2 linked regions of the Drosophila melanogaster genome follow. The protein of the gene in region 1 interacts with the protein of each later gene in a pairwise test. Each region holds a gene or a part of one and is shown in the gene's direction. Other genes may lie near its edges.

Evidence for each region.
Region 2: the proteins of sona (region 1) and Grip91 interact in a two-hybrid assay, tested with the Drosophila melanogaster proteins (one large-scale study listed by BioGRID).

What each region holds. Positions count from the first base shown.
Region 1 is NT_033778.4:23,794,391-23,802,528, reverse strand, and holds the start of sona (sol narae), read left to right. Parts: upstream 1-4,133; 5' UTR 4,134-5,132; intron 5,133-8,138. Other genes in the region: CG30177 (uncharacterized protein), read right to left, coding at 262-882.
Region 2 is NC_004354.4:13,739,731-13,747,860, reverse strand, and holds the start of Grip91 (Gamma-tubulin ring protein 91), read left to right. Parts: upstream 1-3,177; 5' UTR 3,178-3,462; coding exon 3,463-3,577; intron 3,578-4,126; coding exon 4,127-5,545; intron 5,546-5,619; coding exon 5,620-5,812; intron 5,813-5,883; coding exon 5,884-6,205; intron 6,206-6,717; exon of another isoform or gene 6,718-6,968; coding exon of another isoform or gene 6,969-7,183; intron 7,184-7,748; coding exon of another isoform or gene 7,749-7,881; exon of another isoform or gene 7,882-8,117; intron 8,118-8,130. Other genes in the region: Pdcd4 (programmed cell death 4), read left to right, coding at 1,013-1,085; CG11151 (uncharacterized protein), read right to left, coding at 6,969-7,183, 7,749-7,881.

The sequences.
Region 1 (8,138 bases):
ATAACAATATGGGCCAATGGCCAACAAATCGCTACTGATCGCTGGATCATCGATTCCTGGCGCCGATCCATGAATCAATTAACATGCCCGTCCGCTGGCATTGAACTTTTCTAATTGAAGATTAATGGCAGCTGCTGCTCTTCTGTAAACTCCCCTAGAGTGATTCAACACCAAGGTTTTGGAAGGAGCAGGAAAACCAAATAATGCTACTCAGGCTGACCTTCCTCTTGAACGGCTGAAGTTGGCTTATAGTAGGGCGGACTACTGCTGGTCCCCCCCTCTCTGGCCTAAATAATCGATGACATTGTGCATGGATTCCCGGTTAAATTTGTCCAGTTCAGCTGCTCGTAAATGCCGAGGGGAATGAATCATCATAGGGCTCTCATGCTGATGGCGATGGTCGGCCGAATTCTTTGCAATCTGCGTCATGAGATTCGACAGTTCTCTTTTCAGCAGACGGTTATTGATCCGTGGCTCCGTGATATGCTCATCCTCGTCCCTTGGCATAACCACTGTCACCAGTGGTGATTTCATAAAGCCGCGAAAAATGTTTCTACAGACTTTTTCGTGCCAGCGAACACCTTTCTCGACGACTGGACATAGTTTTCCCATAGAGTACGTGTTAAGCAGATTGAACAGGTGATTGGTGCTGTATGGGGCACTGAACCAGAGGCCCACGGACAGGATAAGCTTGAGACCAGCGTAGAAGGATAGGCCACCGAGCAGGAAATCCGTGAGGACTCCAAGTCCCTGCAGCAGTGCATAGATTACCCAATACTTCAGCCAGAGTTCGATGAAGTGTCTCTGGTCATGTCCAATAGCCCGCAAGCTGCTCCATCCAGGTAGCAGGGTTCCATAGTAAATGTATACCAAGCGCAGCATGCCCGCTGCTTAAACAGAATGGCAAACAAGTTAAAAAAAGTAATGTAAGGGTTTCGTATACTGTCGAACTGAGTTGATAAGCGTGGAGAGTGTTTTGTGAGTAATTTCGAAAGACGTTTAAGTCGAGGAGCTCTTTGGTCATTTGCCTGTAATGTAATCGGTGTTCATCGGTGTTCAGCACTGGTTTCCCACCGAAAATGGTTTATAATGATTGAGCTCGCATTCCGAAAAGCGGAGAGACAATCAAATAATTCCTTGTCACTTCCTAGAGTCGACAACAAATCTGTGGCCAGCACTTGGCATCGGCCATCAGTGGTTTGAGCCGGGCTAAGTGCCTGGGGGCTTTGCCCGCGGCTTTCGCAAGACCAGGAGCCAGAAGCCAGAAACCATGGGTATCCGCGTGTGTGCGCCTGTCTTTTGGCCAGCTTTATGCATATTTATAGATTTGTTTGGCCTGTTAGTCGGCCAAAACCAAAATAGACCAGAGCGCGGCGGGGAGAAAGAGACCCAGTTTATGGGCCAGATTGTATTAATGGCGGCGCCTTTTGGCCAAAACGGCGCTAGTGAAGCGAGTCCATTGGGCATTCGGTAGTCCGCGCAGCAGTAGCAACTGTTGCTTCGACCTGACATAATGGAAATAATAATACAATATAATCGATTCGGCTACAATTTTGCTCAACTTGTTCGACCTGTCTGCCCCTTAGATTTATGAACATTTCTTCGGGACTACGTTTATCCGCTTCACTTGCTCGATAATCCTCGTTTTATCCCACTTTATAGTTTGCCAAGTAGTTTGTTGTTTGTATTACACAATTTTAATAAACCATACATTTCGTATGTGTTTCGCAGGCGGACTTGGCTATTTCCAAACAAAGTAGCGTGAAATGTTGAAAATTATGCAAATGTTTTATGGCTTTTCTTTGTTTGTCTTTGTAGAAATTATCGGGGGAAGAGTCGCACATAAATATCGAACCAATCTGGGATGGGATGTATATTTAAATGGGTTTTGTTTCGTTTTTTATGTTTTTTTTTTTTTTTATGTATCATTGACGCCTCGTTAACTGTTTTCATATGGGCTTTGTGGGATAGAGCGGGGATTACAAGCTGGATTCGACGATCTGTTAACTTTTTTATGGCAGATTCGTACCTCCTCTGCGGTTGCCCAACTCTTGGTTTTTTTTTTTTTTTTTGGTTACCGATGCGGGCAGATTGACATTGACCCTTTGACATGGATAAATACCTCTGTGCATGCGTGTATGTGTGCAGATGCAGATGGGCGGCGAAATATATGTAATTTGATTAATCGACCAGCTGGAGAAGCACATTTTCTTCAATGACCTTTAGTCATTATGTTATTGACCCGAAAAGGTATTTTGTACGGAAAACCATCATTGAGGTAGGTTTTTTTAACCAAATATTGCTTCCGCATAAAAACTACATCACGAATCGAAATGATTGGCTAGCGAAGCTACCAGCGTATTATTAGGGAATCTATTATTTAGGATGAAAATTTGGGGACTCATTCAACATCTTGGCAGGAACAAAAATTCGTTTGGGGTTCAACAATTTTGAGAACAATTGCCAAAAAGCCAAGTAAAATGTGTCAAGCATTTAATGCATACGACGTCAACTCGAATGCGATGCACTGTGAGAAAGTCAGGACAGGATTTGACCAATAAACAGCGCAAATTTAAAGTAATGTAAACAAATGCAAGGTAATTAGCACGAAATCCGCATAAAAGTAATGGGTTCAATTGCCAAAACGAAACCTGTTCGCTGAGCACGAAGATCGGCAATTGGGGCCAGAAATTGGGTTTGGATTGGAGGTGCCGATGGGTTGGAACTTACAGCCATTAATAGATACCATCGCCAACTGCGACTTAAATGTCGCATGAAGTGCGGCACTCAGATCGCAGATCAGAGATCTCCACGGGCCGTTTGCCGCCAGCAAATGGTAAATGGAGTCCATATATGGGAATGGTATGGGGAGGATGGTGGGAGGATGGGTCTCGAGATTGCGGATCTCACATCTCGTGTGCCCCCGTTGAGTCATCCGGAGATCGGTTCATTGCCGTTTCACCCAGAGAGCACTCGATTGTCCTGGTTATCATCATCGCCGTCCGCAGCTGCCGGGCTTACGTGGGCGGTTCAGTGTGCCCCGATTTTGGATGTGGAACCCGGCCCATTGAGATCTTCACATCGATCTCTCAATGTGTGACAATTACCTTTTTAATTGGCCCAGTTTGAATGGACCGATTCGATTTAATTGTATGTGTGCTCATGTGGGAGTCAAATGGATTGTTTTTTTTTTTTATCAATGCGAATACTGTCATTGAACTTGGTGTGAATGAAACGATTTTTTCTAACACTTTTGAAAAATGGTTTTTGTTTCCTTTGTCTTGGCTTTGAATGAGCGAAGTGCCGACTCGATTGGAATTTCGGATTAGAATGCCAAAGTAGGTTAATCATTTAATCGGGTAGAATTTCCGGACTAAGCCTTCGAAGTTCAGTCGGTCATTGAAGTACATGCTTTGTATGAAACACTAACTTTTTTTTTATCAAAGAATCTTATCGTGAGATCAAACATCATGTTAGATCATTTGAAAAATAGCTCATGCAGCTAATGAGTTTTTGAAGCGACTTATCACTGTCATATCTCGGATCACGAATGCTGCTGGTATGATGCGATTTGTTCTATCAGAACTTTCAGTTTCCTGTACAAAGTGTCAGCGATGTCAATGCCCAAATGACACCTTCCTTGCTAATTAATTTAACATTCGACTCGCCAATTAAACAACGTCGAGTGTTTCGGAGTGCTCGTAACATTTTGAATGCGAAGATGCCCGGCTGAAGATTAATTAAAGCGAGTCTTTACAACATTAATCAGTCGGCTTTCATTCCACTCAAAGAGTCATTCAACGGCAAGTGAGTCCGAGTCCGAATCCGAGTTTTAGTTTATGGCCAAAAGCCACTCGAAAGCTGGCTCAAAGCGAAGCTCGAACTATGGAACGAAAAGTGCAAGTGTTTTATGTTTCGCTTTCGTTGGTCGCAGAGCTTTCAAGGCTTTGGCTTTGGCTTGGCTTGGCTTGGCTTTCGGTTATGATATGGCCAGCAGATCGTCTAGCAGCTATAAGTTTTGGCCCAAAGCTCCGCTCCGCTCAGCTCTCGTACCGCCGATGGTGCCGTCTCGCTCGGGCAGCCAGCTTTGGATCGGTTTTGGACTCCGTGGAGCGTTCCGAGCGATCGTTAACTTTAGTGTGCGCCGACCTGTTTCCGTAGACGGCCACAAAAAACCGTCAAAGACTTAGCCACCGACTCTTTTGGACATTGATTTCGATTCGAATTCGAGAAACGGTCGCTGAATTAAATTCCCAAAAAATTCCCAAGTGACTGTCTGCTATCAGAAGATATATATTGTATATATACATATATGTATCATGTATATCAGGTATATAAGTGCATCGGCAAGATCGTGACGTCAGGGCAGCTCAAAAGTGCAATTCCCCAGCCAAACAAAGCTCAATTTGCGATCCGCCGCCCGCTTCAGCCCGCTTTCGTAATAGCATCGTGCAAAAAAGCCAGTAAAAAAAGTTGATAAAAAAGTGAATCTGCTGTCCGGCATCCCGCTCGCACCCAAAGCCAAGATCGTACCGCTGCAGTCGACGTCGCCGTCGCCGCCGTCGCGCTCTTCATTGTTTATGTTTTTTTGTGTTCTTCCCCCCCCAGAAGGTGGGGAAGCAAGCCATAATAATAAAAGCAATGCGGCGAAATTGAGTGAAAAATAAATTTCGTTTACGAAAAATAATCAAAAAATATCGCAGCGAATGAGAGGAAAAAATTCACTGCCAAGCAAATTTCACGCCGTATTTAATCGTCGCTCACCGACCGCCTCCAGCTTAATCGCTGCTCGTCTTTCTTTCCGCCACGTTCCGCGATTCGCGATCGCGAGTGTTCTGTGCCCCGATTCTGGACAGATAGCTCCGGCTTTAGCCCCAGTAACGGCCACCGATCTAATCCGATCCCGAGTCCGAGTCCCAGCCCCATCCCACCTTCCAATTGCTCGCCGCGTCGCGTAGTCCAGCACTCGAAACAGATATCCATCCTTAAACTTGAAAAGTCCAACTCACAAGATAGAAGATAGTGCTGTGTGCCTGCCTATGAAAGTGCTGAATAAAACTTGAAAACTCCTCGAAAATCCGTTTGATTCGCCACCATTGTTTGGCCAGTGGAGCAGACAGGAACAAACTTAGGTGAGGTTCAGCTTAAAAATATTTTAAGTAACTAGAAAATGGGAAAGGAAGCAACAGGAAGTGCTTGAAAGTTAATCTTTCCATAAGTGCAACACTCATCTCAGTATAAATTTCTAAATCAGCAGAAGAAGTGTTCCTACAAATAATAGATATATTGTAGAAGCAGTTGGATTCCGTATCCAAGTAGTCAGCACTTTTGGTCTTCTGCTATCGTAGATCTTTGATTATTACCTCATATACCAAAAAGTGGTTGGGTGGCTCCTACTAATTTGCAGACAAGTTTCGGGGCATAATTATTACCACACATGTGAGTTTGGTTTTGAACTTGCTAATTGCGGAACCGAGCCAGAGGAACTGAATGCCAAATGGGATGTGTGAGATGCCAAGGAGGCGAGATGCAGTGCGCTGTCCCTGTAAAACGAGATTTTTCTAGAGCAGGATCTTGGCTCTTGGGCGGGGAATACTATACTATACTATACTATACTATACTATATGTGCCATATGTACGTGCACAAGACTTTTGTCTGGCTTTTAGTTCGGCCCACAAAATGGGCTTGTTTCCCAGTTTTAAGTTCAGTTCGAGCGGGTTTTGTTTTATATTTTTGTTTCGCTGAAACAACTTTTCGTGCCGACTTCTTGTTGTCGTTGGTGTAGTTGTTGGAGTAGTTGTTGGTGTTGCTGTGTTGGTGTTTTGTGGGCTTATTATCCCATTGTTGTTGTGTGTTTTCCGTTGGCTTTTGCGAGCCTCGAACCAATGCGATTTTGTAATATTGCTACAGTTATTATTGCCAGCCACGCTTTGCTCTCCACATTTCGTAGTGAATTTTAGTGATTTTGCTGCAATTATTGCACTTTTGATTTCAACAAAGAGTGAGAGCGAGAGAGTGCGAGAGAGAGAGAGAGAGAGAGTGAGAGAGGGGGACGAGCTTTGAGCTTTCTGATCGGCCTTTGTTCGATTATAAATCCAATATACCCACACCCCATGGATTCGCCACTTTCTATGCCATTGATATTCTGCGGAACAACAGCCCTTCTGGGCTTTGTCCAGATTTTCCATAAATAGGCATTATTTGCGCCATTCGATAGCGATCATTCATCAGATTCGGTTTGGCGTTTGATTCGCTTTCAATTCATCTTGTATCGAGTGTTTTGTTTCTGGGGATCTTTTCAGCGTTTTCATTGACATCGGCGAAGACGAAACCCGAGTAACCTGTTTGTTTATATTTTTATTTGTGTTGTTTCAGTCGCCCAGCCACTCAGCTTACTAAGTTGTTGTTGCTATTTCAGTTTGTTTAGCATTCATGGAATAGTTTGTGTCGGTGTAGTCAATGTACTCGGTTATGTTTTATTTACCCATAAACTGTTTGCCCGTAAAGTGTTACTTAAGCTTAACCTTTTGCGTAGTCATCATTTTGCGAATTTCATTCATATTTCGCTGGCATTTCATGTAAAATCCTGCTCAGCATTACTTAAGCTACTAATAGGTAAAATATTTATTTTACTTTTAATTAGTGAACAGTTTTTTAATTATATCCTTTGTGTTTTCTTTACCAAACTATAGCAATATTTCTATATTTATTGCAAGCCCATAAAATTTCCATTTAAATGCTAAAAGTTTATGATTGCATCGCCACAAGCGGTAATCGAAAAAAAAAAAACAACAAAAGCCAAATGCAATGGGAATAAAGTTAAAAACCCATGCAAACCATCACACAAATCGAAGCAAAGTTGAAGTCAAACATTTTAGCCGACGTCTTCTTCAATTTCAATTACAATTTCACTTTCATTTTCATTTTAATGCGGTTTATGGCTTTTCCGACTTCGACCGCAACGCCAACTGCGGCAGCGCAGTCGACTGCGACGCCGACGCAGCACGCAATCAGCGCAAGTGCTTGTTGTTGTTTTTGCAGTTTGTGGCAAAGTTGCATGTTGTAACAACGGCTGGAAAAAATCATAACAATTGCAAGAGCAGAAGCCAGAAACAACGAAAGACAGGAGCAGCAACTCAGTTCCGAAATGCAATGCTTTTTACTCTGCTGCTTATTCTTTTGGCAAATATTTCATTTATTTTCTTTCGCTGCCTTTTCGCTTGTCATTGCCCATCTTTAAATTTAATTAGTCTCGCATATTACGTATACGTAGTGTTGTTTTTTTTTTATTTGCCACCTCTTCCTTGCCTTTGCCTTTTGCAGTTTTTCAATATTTGCGCATTTTATAATTTTATAATGGCATTTTGATTATTATTTCGTATGGTGAAGAGGGGGGGGGGGGTGGCAGATGTAGAAAAAATAACTTCAAGCTTGTTTTCGGTGATGTATCTCTTGTGCTCGCCCTCTCCTCTTGCACATTACGTATACGCACCGGGGGCCAAGTCTTTGTTGTATGCAGAACCATCGGCTAGATGGTCTTGGCTAACCATCTAATATACATAAATGAATAATATGCTCAGGAACAGATGCTTAAGACAACCATTTAGGCGACGGCCCTGAAACCAGTTTTGGCAGCCATGATCTTCGATGGATTATGTCAGCGAACCTAGAATTTAAATTGGTCTCATTCAAATATTAGTGTTTGACATTTGGCCCGCACTTTATATCTTTTTGTTCGCCATTAGCCAAATTTGCACAGCTGTTTTTTCTTCAGCTCAACTCGCGTTGACGTGCTTTCAACAGCGGACTAGCGACTCAAGGTGCAGGTTCCCAGACCGCATTCATTGTTTTATCATTATAAAACAATGGCCAAAAGATTCGCTCGCCCTTTTCCAGCCAACAGGCATACAAATGCAAAAAGTTCAGGTCACAGACACTTTACGTAATCCCCACCGCCACTTGATCGCTGTCTGCAACTTGCAGCGGAATTGTCGGCGAAGTATCGGCTAAATTTATTATCTCCTGGGCAAAATGTTCGCAGTTGAACTTTGTTATGTCACATTTTGGCCGATTTATGTGTGATCCACATATTTTTTCTGCGTCTGTCTGGGAAATGGGTTGGCTGCGTCACTCATAC
Region 2 (8,130 bases), on another chromosome or scaffold:
AAAGTAGCCAAACTGCCAGCACAGCGCTACAACTGGCTGTGGTTTTTTTCTGAGGTCTCCGCTCTTTTATGCTTTTGCTTTATTATTTTTGATTTATTTTTATATATTTTGTTATTTGTTTAACTCTTGTATTTACTTGCTTTGCTGATCGCGCGCTTATCTTGCCTCAATTTTAACTGACTCTTCTACACCAGTGCACTTGTGTGTGTGTTTGTGTTTATAAATAGATATGTATGTATATTTCTGCATTTAGTACCCCACTTGGTCACATATTTATAGTAGCAACAATTAAGGCTCCAGCTGGTTTTTGCCATTGTTGTTGTTTGTTTTGTTTCTAGGCCAGAATCCTTTGATTGGCCAGCTTGGTGGTGTCCCCCTTTAAATATATAAAACTAGTTTTAATTTACCTCGCTCTCCCCACCTTCTCACCACCCCACTGCATTTGGTTCACCCGCTACTTTTGCACAGCTGTTGCAGTAAAGAGAGCAGTGGAGAGAGAGAACCTCAACGGGAGAGAGAGACTCCCAACGGGAGAGATAGAGAGAGAGAGAGCGAAAAAGGGTCAACGGTTGAATGAACTTTTGTGCAAATTCGTTGTTGTTCTTGTTATTGTTGTTACCAAATTTGCGCCAAGCATTTCGCAACTTGTTTTTTGTTTTCTCCTCTTTGTTTTCTTGTTCTTTGTATTATATTTGTTTTTTTTTTGTTTTGTTTTAGCGGCAATGCATTGCATAATTGTAATTGCTTAGTGCGTAAGGCAGCGCGAGAGAGAGAAAGAGAACGAGATAGTATTATGCAGTTGCATTTCACATGCATTTATTTCTTTGTTTAAGAAAAGCTACACCACTGCAAAGTCTTTTAAAAATAAGAAAAAAAACATTGTTTAACAATAGCAAATGTGTATCAGGCTAAAATGATGATTTGTTTACCGAACTTCAAGGGCCATTATATTTACTACTACTCGAATTGTGTTACCGATTTCTGATCAATTTTCCCCGTTTTATATTTGCAGCGGACGCAAGCGTTTCGTTTCGGAGGGCGACGGCGGCCACGTGAAGCCGACTACCTTCACCATGCGTGATTAAATCATAGGGACAACGGGGACGTTATATGCTGCACATGCTTATATGACCACTGCCCCCAGCCACCCAATGACAACTAGAGGAGCAACAAGAGAGAAGCAAACATTAAACAAAAACAAAAAAAAAAACACCAAATTACAAAAAAAAAAAACGAAAATTCATACGAACGCAAAGAATAAATACACCATTTATAAGAAACAAAAGACGATATGAAGAATTTGTCGCAAACTTGATAAAAAGAACTTATCCTCAGAATCCAGATAAGGACACAAACGAAAAACAAAAACAAGCAAAAAAAAAAAACCACAAAAAAACAAACAATCAATCGGAATTTGATCTCCGTTTAAACTATATTCATTATTATACTACATAAACACCTACAACGTATATCTTACCTACATGTAACTACCAGCGTAATTCGAAAGTATATTTTAAATATTTGTTAAAAAAGGAGATATGAGTGAAACGATCACAAAAAAAAGAAAAAGAAAGAAGAATCCAGCCAAAAGTATGCGGGGAACCACGAGCAGGAGCAACAGGAACAGAGATGGGTCGCTTTTTGTGGCTAGGATCTCACATAAAGGATGCGAGTGGGCGTACTTAGCACGACCGTCATTATGCCACATGAAATCAAAGCATATTATTTACATGAAACTGTTATAGGCACTCGTACACACACACTCACACACACCTCTTGGGTTGATTGAATTGATTGAATAACTTGTATTTGGAACGAACCAATGATGATGATTTATGCTATCAACGCAATCAAAACTCTGATGATTACACAAAACAAATTCCATTGACTTGAAATTGAGAAAAACATTTATAATATTCCTATGCGCATCGAAAACATGATTTTCCTTAATTTTTTTGTAACTTTGTGTGTCAGAAGACTAACATAATTAAGCTTAATTTTACTTTATACGTATATTTACCCACGGATTCATCTTATTCTGCTTGCTTTTTTTTTTTTTTGATTGAATAAAAGCTGCATTTTATATGATAAGAAAAAGACTTTGTTTTCGCCGCACTTATATTTTAAAATGTTCACACTTCATGAAGAAACAAAATTCGACATATTCTTAAAAATGCGCGCCCACACATCTATATATATTTAATATATATATCTACATATATATATATATAAACTAATGTGTTAAAAGCAGAAAATATACATCAAAAATAAAAATTAAAAACATATTTTAATGCGTTTTCAATGGGCAAATTCGTTTATTTAGTTGGAAATAATTTAGGATCGGGCCAACATTTATTTTGCTTTTTTTTCGTTACAGAAATCTCCGGATATTAAATGCAATTACGTATAGAAGTGAGTAAGGTAAACCGGATGAGAGTTTAACTATGTTCTAAATTAAATACCGGAGGTTTCTGTTTCAATACACATTATATACATTATATATTATTTCACATATTATTTCGCGTTCAAATCTGGTGGCGAAGAATCCTTCTTGGTCACCGGTTCACTCGGTGGTTCCAGCTTGATTTCTGGGGCTCAGGATTAGCCCACATATTGCTAGGTAGTTGGGTTGGCTGCTCCAGGTACTGCTCCACCGCATCCAGCTGCTGATGGCCCATTGCGACGAAGGAAAGTCCTTGTCCATTGGAATTCCAAGACATCCTTGCAGCACCTTAAGCTTTAACTCCCCCAGCAGTAGGTATCAAACACGACTTGTAGCCAATTACAGCCGTTGGTGTGCTCCATGGCGAAACGCAGTTGGTCAGTCTCATCTATGTCTTCAGCCTTTATATTAAATATTAACAATTTTAAAGTTTACCATTTTTGCTTACAAGCAATTGCAAATGCAAAACGGACAGTGTGACCAGGCGAGTGAGAGTTGGAAACGTTTGCGGCCCCAGAGCTGTCAGATGTTTGCAATGGAATTAACATAAAAGCTGAAAGCTGCACTTCTAAACATAACTGTTATACAAAAATGCTACATTCAGTAACATTCCGACAGAAATACATTTTTATAGTAAAATGTAGAACGATAATCAAAATGGCATAGCCTATTGCAGACGAGCGCTGCCAGATCGCTGCACCTTCGGCCAGTGTGTGCCCGCCAGCGGCTAGGACTTTGCCTTGTCAAGTTTCCCAGATTCGGTAACACTGCACTAAATAATTTTAATAAATTATTTGTATGAAGTACGCGCCAATTGGATGCGTTTTTGTCCTATCTGTCGAAGATTTCACGCATCCCGAACAATTGCCAGTGACTGCACGCCGTATTATAGCCAGGGAACAGCTGTGCGTTTGCCATTGGCCAACAGTTGTTGTCCACTTCGCAATTACCAAGCCATCCAAAATCGGCTGTTTAACGCGCGCTTGATTGGATATTTATGAACAATTCAGTGCACCAGGATGTCGCAGGACAGGATCGCCGGCATCGATGTGGCAACCAATTCCACTGATATATCGAATATCATTAACGAGATGATCATCTGCATCAAGGGCAAGCAGATGCCCGAAGTTCACGGTGAGATTTGGGAATGTGCAATCACTCACTGGCTGTCCAGGCACGCAAGGCATACGGACTGCTCTGGCATTCCGGGAAGAAGGCCTCCACCCTTGGGAATCGACCACGTGCTTCAGGATTATAGTTAATCCCAGAAACTCAACATATTTCATGGCATTTTCAAACAGAGAGTCCTTGAGATATGCAACTAACAATACATATACTTATATTTTTATAGTTCTAGATTAAATGTAGCAATAACCATTGCCAAAGTGTGTTGCATAGTCGTAAATGTTCAAAATTAATGTATATATCCCACAAACAATTCAAAGTATTCAAAGATATTTATCCGAAAGTAGATAGTTTTGAATTGTTTTTAAATGACTATTGATCACATATACTTAACTATAAAAGTATGAGCAAGTTTCTTAGATCCTCAAGGTCCTCAATACGTACAATTTCCAAATCAATGAATCTAAGGATACGTAATGCAACACATACACTAGACACTATACATAATTGTAGGCTTCATTGCCCTTGTTTTAATGCACTTTGTTCAATCTTTTGCAGAAAAAGCAATGGATCATTTAAGCAAAATGATTGCCGCCAATAGTCGGGTCATTCGGGACTCAAATATGTTGACTGAGCGCGAATGTGTCCAGAAGATAATGAAACTGCTGAGCGCCCGGAATAAGAAGGAGGAGGGCAAAACTGTGTCGGATCACTTCAATGAGCTGTACAGGAAACTCACGTTGACCAAGTGCGATCCGCACATGAGGCACTCGCTAATGACCCATCTACTTACGATGACCGACAATTCGGATGCCGAAAAGGCAGTTGCCAGCGAAGATCCACGTACTCAGTGCGATAATCTCACTCAGATTCTGGTCAGTCGTCTTAACTCAATAAGTTCCTCCATAGCCAGTCTGAATGAGATGGGAGTGGTCAACGGAAATGGAGTAGGAGCAGCAGCGGTAACAGGAGCAGCAGCGGTAACAGGAGCAGCAGCGGTAACAGGAGCAGCAGCGGTAACAGGAGCAGCAGCAAGCCACAGTTATGATGCCACACAGTCCAGCATCGGATTGAGAAAACAGTCCTTGCCCAACTACCTGGATGCAACAAAGATGTTGCCCGAGTCTCGACATGATATAGTGATGAGTGCCATTTACTCCTTCACCGGCGTTCAAGGGAAGTATTTGAAGAAGGATGTGGTAACGGGCCGTTTCAAGCTGGATCAGCAGAACATCAAGTTCCTGACCACCGGCCAAGCGGGCATGTTGCTGCGGCTCTCCGAACTTGGCTACTACCACGATCGAGTGGTCAAGTTTTCGGATGTATCGACCGGTTTCAATGCCATTGGCAGCATGGGCCAGGCCCTGATTTCCAAACTCAAGGAGGAGCTGGCGAATTTTCACGGGCAAGTGGCAATGCTTCACGATGAAATGCAGCGTTTTCGGCAGGCCTCGGTGAATGGAATTGCAAACAAGGGGAAAAAGGATAGTGGGCCCGATGCTGGCGATGAAATGACGCTATTCAAGCTGCTCGCCTGGTATATAAAGCCACTGCACCGGATGCAGTGGTTAACCAAGATTGCCGACGCCTGCCAGGTAAAGAAGGGCGGTGATTTGGCATCGACCGTTTATGATTTCCTTGACAACGGTAACGATATGGTCAATAAATTGGTGGAGGATCTCCTAACTGCCATTTGTGGCCCACTGGTGCGCATGATCTCCAAATGGATTCTGGAGGGCGGCATTAGCGATATGCATAGAGAGTTCTTTGTGAAGTCCATTAAAGATGTGGGCGTTGATCGGCTATGGCACGATAAATTCCGCCTACGATTGCCAATGCTGCCCAAGTTTGTGCCCATGGATATGGCCAATAAGATACTCATGACGGGCAAATCCATTAATTTTCTAAGAGAAATCTGCGAGGAGCAGGGTATGATGAAGGAGCGCGACGAACTAATGAAGGTCATGGAATCTAGTGGTGAGTTAAGGCATGCTCTTCAAATTGGATTAGCGAAATCGAATGATTTAAATGCTCCATGCTCTTATCTACAGCCTCTCAAATCTTTTCGTACACACCGGACACCAGTTGGCATGCGGCCGTGGAAACGTGCTACCAGCAGACCTCCAAACATGTCCTCGACATTATGGTGGGCCCACACAAGCTGCTGGATCATTTGCACGGAATGCGGCGCTACTTGCTGTTGGGCCAGGGCGATTTTATTAGCATTCTGATTGAAAACATGAAGTTAGTTTTCTTGATGAATGTAATTGAAACTTTTCAATTTCTAATGTAACACTTGAAAATCGCCTTTTCAGGAACGAACTGGAGCGACCGGGCCTTGATATATATGCTAACGATCTCACCTCCATGTTGGATTCCGCTCTGCGCTGTACGAATGCCCAGTACGATGATCCTGATATTCTAAACCATCTCGATGTGATTGTTCAACGACCGTTCAACGGTGATATTGGCTGGAACATCATCTCGCTGCAGTACATTGTCCACGGACCACTGGCCGCCATGCTGGAGTCGACCATGCCAACGTACAAGGTGCTCTTCAAGCCACTCTGGCGCATGAAGCACATGGAGTTTGTGCTCTCGATGAAGATCTGGAAGGAGCAGATGGGCAACGCAAAGGTAAGTGGCTGGCTATTAGACTTCTTATCGGTTGTTTCGAGTGCATGCACATATTTTAGATTGCCAAGTGCCACTCAGAGTGCACATGGTGATTCCAGTGGTCAGCGAACTGCTAGCAAGCGGACTCTGCTTTCAATACACAAGTTTGGCTTTTGTTCCCAAGGTAAATTGGGTCAAACTTTTGACTGATTGGCTAGGAGGCAATTAGGGAAATTATAAATATATAGGGAATATCTTGACTTGTTTGAGTTCTTTGACTGCCTGATTTATGAACTTACCAAACCTAAAATCAAGCTTATCTGGTTGAGAAAGCTACTATACGGATTTTTAGAGGTTTTCAAAGATTACAAACAATTTATAGGCTAATCTGGCAACAGGCAGTTGTGGGGGAATCTATTTTTGTGGTTCGAAGTGAAGTCGAAGTTCGAAAGGTTTTAGCCAAGAAATCGACTACAAGAGCTTGATAAGATTGCCCGCTCTTGTAATCTAATCCGCAGCGATTACCCACTTACCGATAAAACCCATTTGTAGTATCAAAGTGCACAGGAATTTGTCGTTTTCGCCTTATGTATTATTTTCTAGTTTTGTAGACGGGTTTTTCCGTACAAAAATAACATTAATTATGTGGTGAAACAAAAACACGAATACAGATTACAAATTACACACACGAAAAAAAAAAAAAATTGTGTAAAAGGGAACACACACACACTGTCTCGTTGAGGAATGTGCTAACTGGGCTGGGTTATTGTTGATCACTCCTTTTTTACAACTTGGCGTCGGTCTTCAGGAGCGGCGCCAGCTTCTGGGTGAGCATGATGTTGCCGGCGATCTTCAGCTTGCCCTTCATGAAGGCAGCCTGGGGGTTCAGCTTGCCCAGGGCGATGTCAACCATGTCCTCGTCGGCGACCGTCAAGGTGGTGTCCACCTTGATGCCCTGGGCAGGTCCCTCGTAGGCCTTGGCGTTCTTGCAGTCCAGAGCTGAAAGTGGTATTCGTTAATAGGTTGTTCATTTGCTCATTGGACTTGGAATATGCTACCAAAGTAGACATTCGATTCTTAAAACTAGCAGATAACTTAGCGGATTTAACTTAGCACGATTTAATGTATGTATATATGACAACGTTTTAAAGTGACTTCTTGTGCAACAAGTGGCATACATACATGCATATATGGCAAGTATGTTGTTCTGTTGCTGTAATATATATTCTCTAAATCGTGCAAATAGGCAATTCAGTGGCTTTTGTTAATGCCAACAGCTGGTGCCGAAGTACAAACGCCGTGCACTTTGAACTGTGACTATTACAAAATGCAAAACACACACACACGCAAAGACGACGTACTAGTATTCTCCACTGGCCAGGAGCGCCAACAGAAGGGGGCTTAGCAACTGGGGGGTAGGAAAATCACCAACTCAGAGTCCGAAAGTCCCCTTCGGATTGAGCCCATCTATGTACATACGCCCCTGTGCTGCGCGTTGGGAGTGTGTGTGTGTGTGGTGCGTGTTTTTATGGGCTCCATTGGGCGATGGATAACTGATACTTACTCCACTCCTTGGCCACCTTGCCGTCCTTGGTGATTTTGTACAGGAACACACCGTTGACCGCCTTGGCCTTGGCCTCGTTCTCCTTCAGTCCATCGATGATCTTTTGGAAAACGGCGTCCGACTGCAGAGACATGGTTGTTGTTGTTGTTGTTGTGGGGGTATTTCTGTGTGTATGCGGTTTTGTTTTTCCGGAAGAATAAAGAAAATATTCAGTGGGCTTGTGCGTCGTAGAAATAAAAGAAAAGTGCTTACGCTTTGAGAGCGGAACGCGAAGTAATGAGCAGAAGGCGTGCAATCGGCGATTTTATTGTCGCTTTTTTCACTACACTGCCCCTGTTGTGTGGGAGCGGGATGGTCGTATAGCAAGTTGCCGGTCGCGATA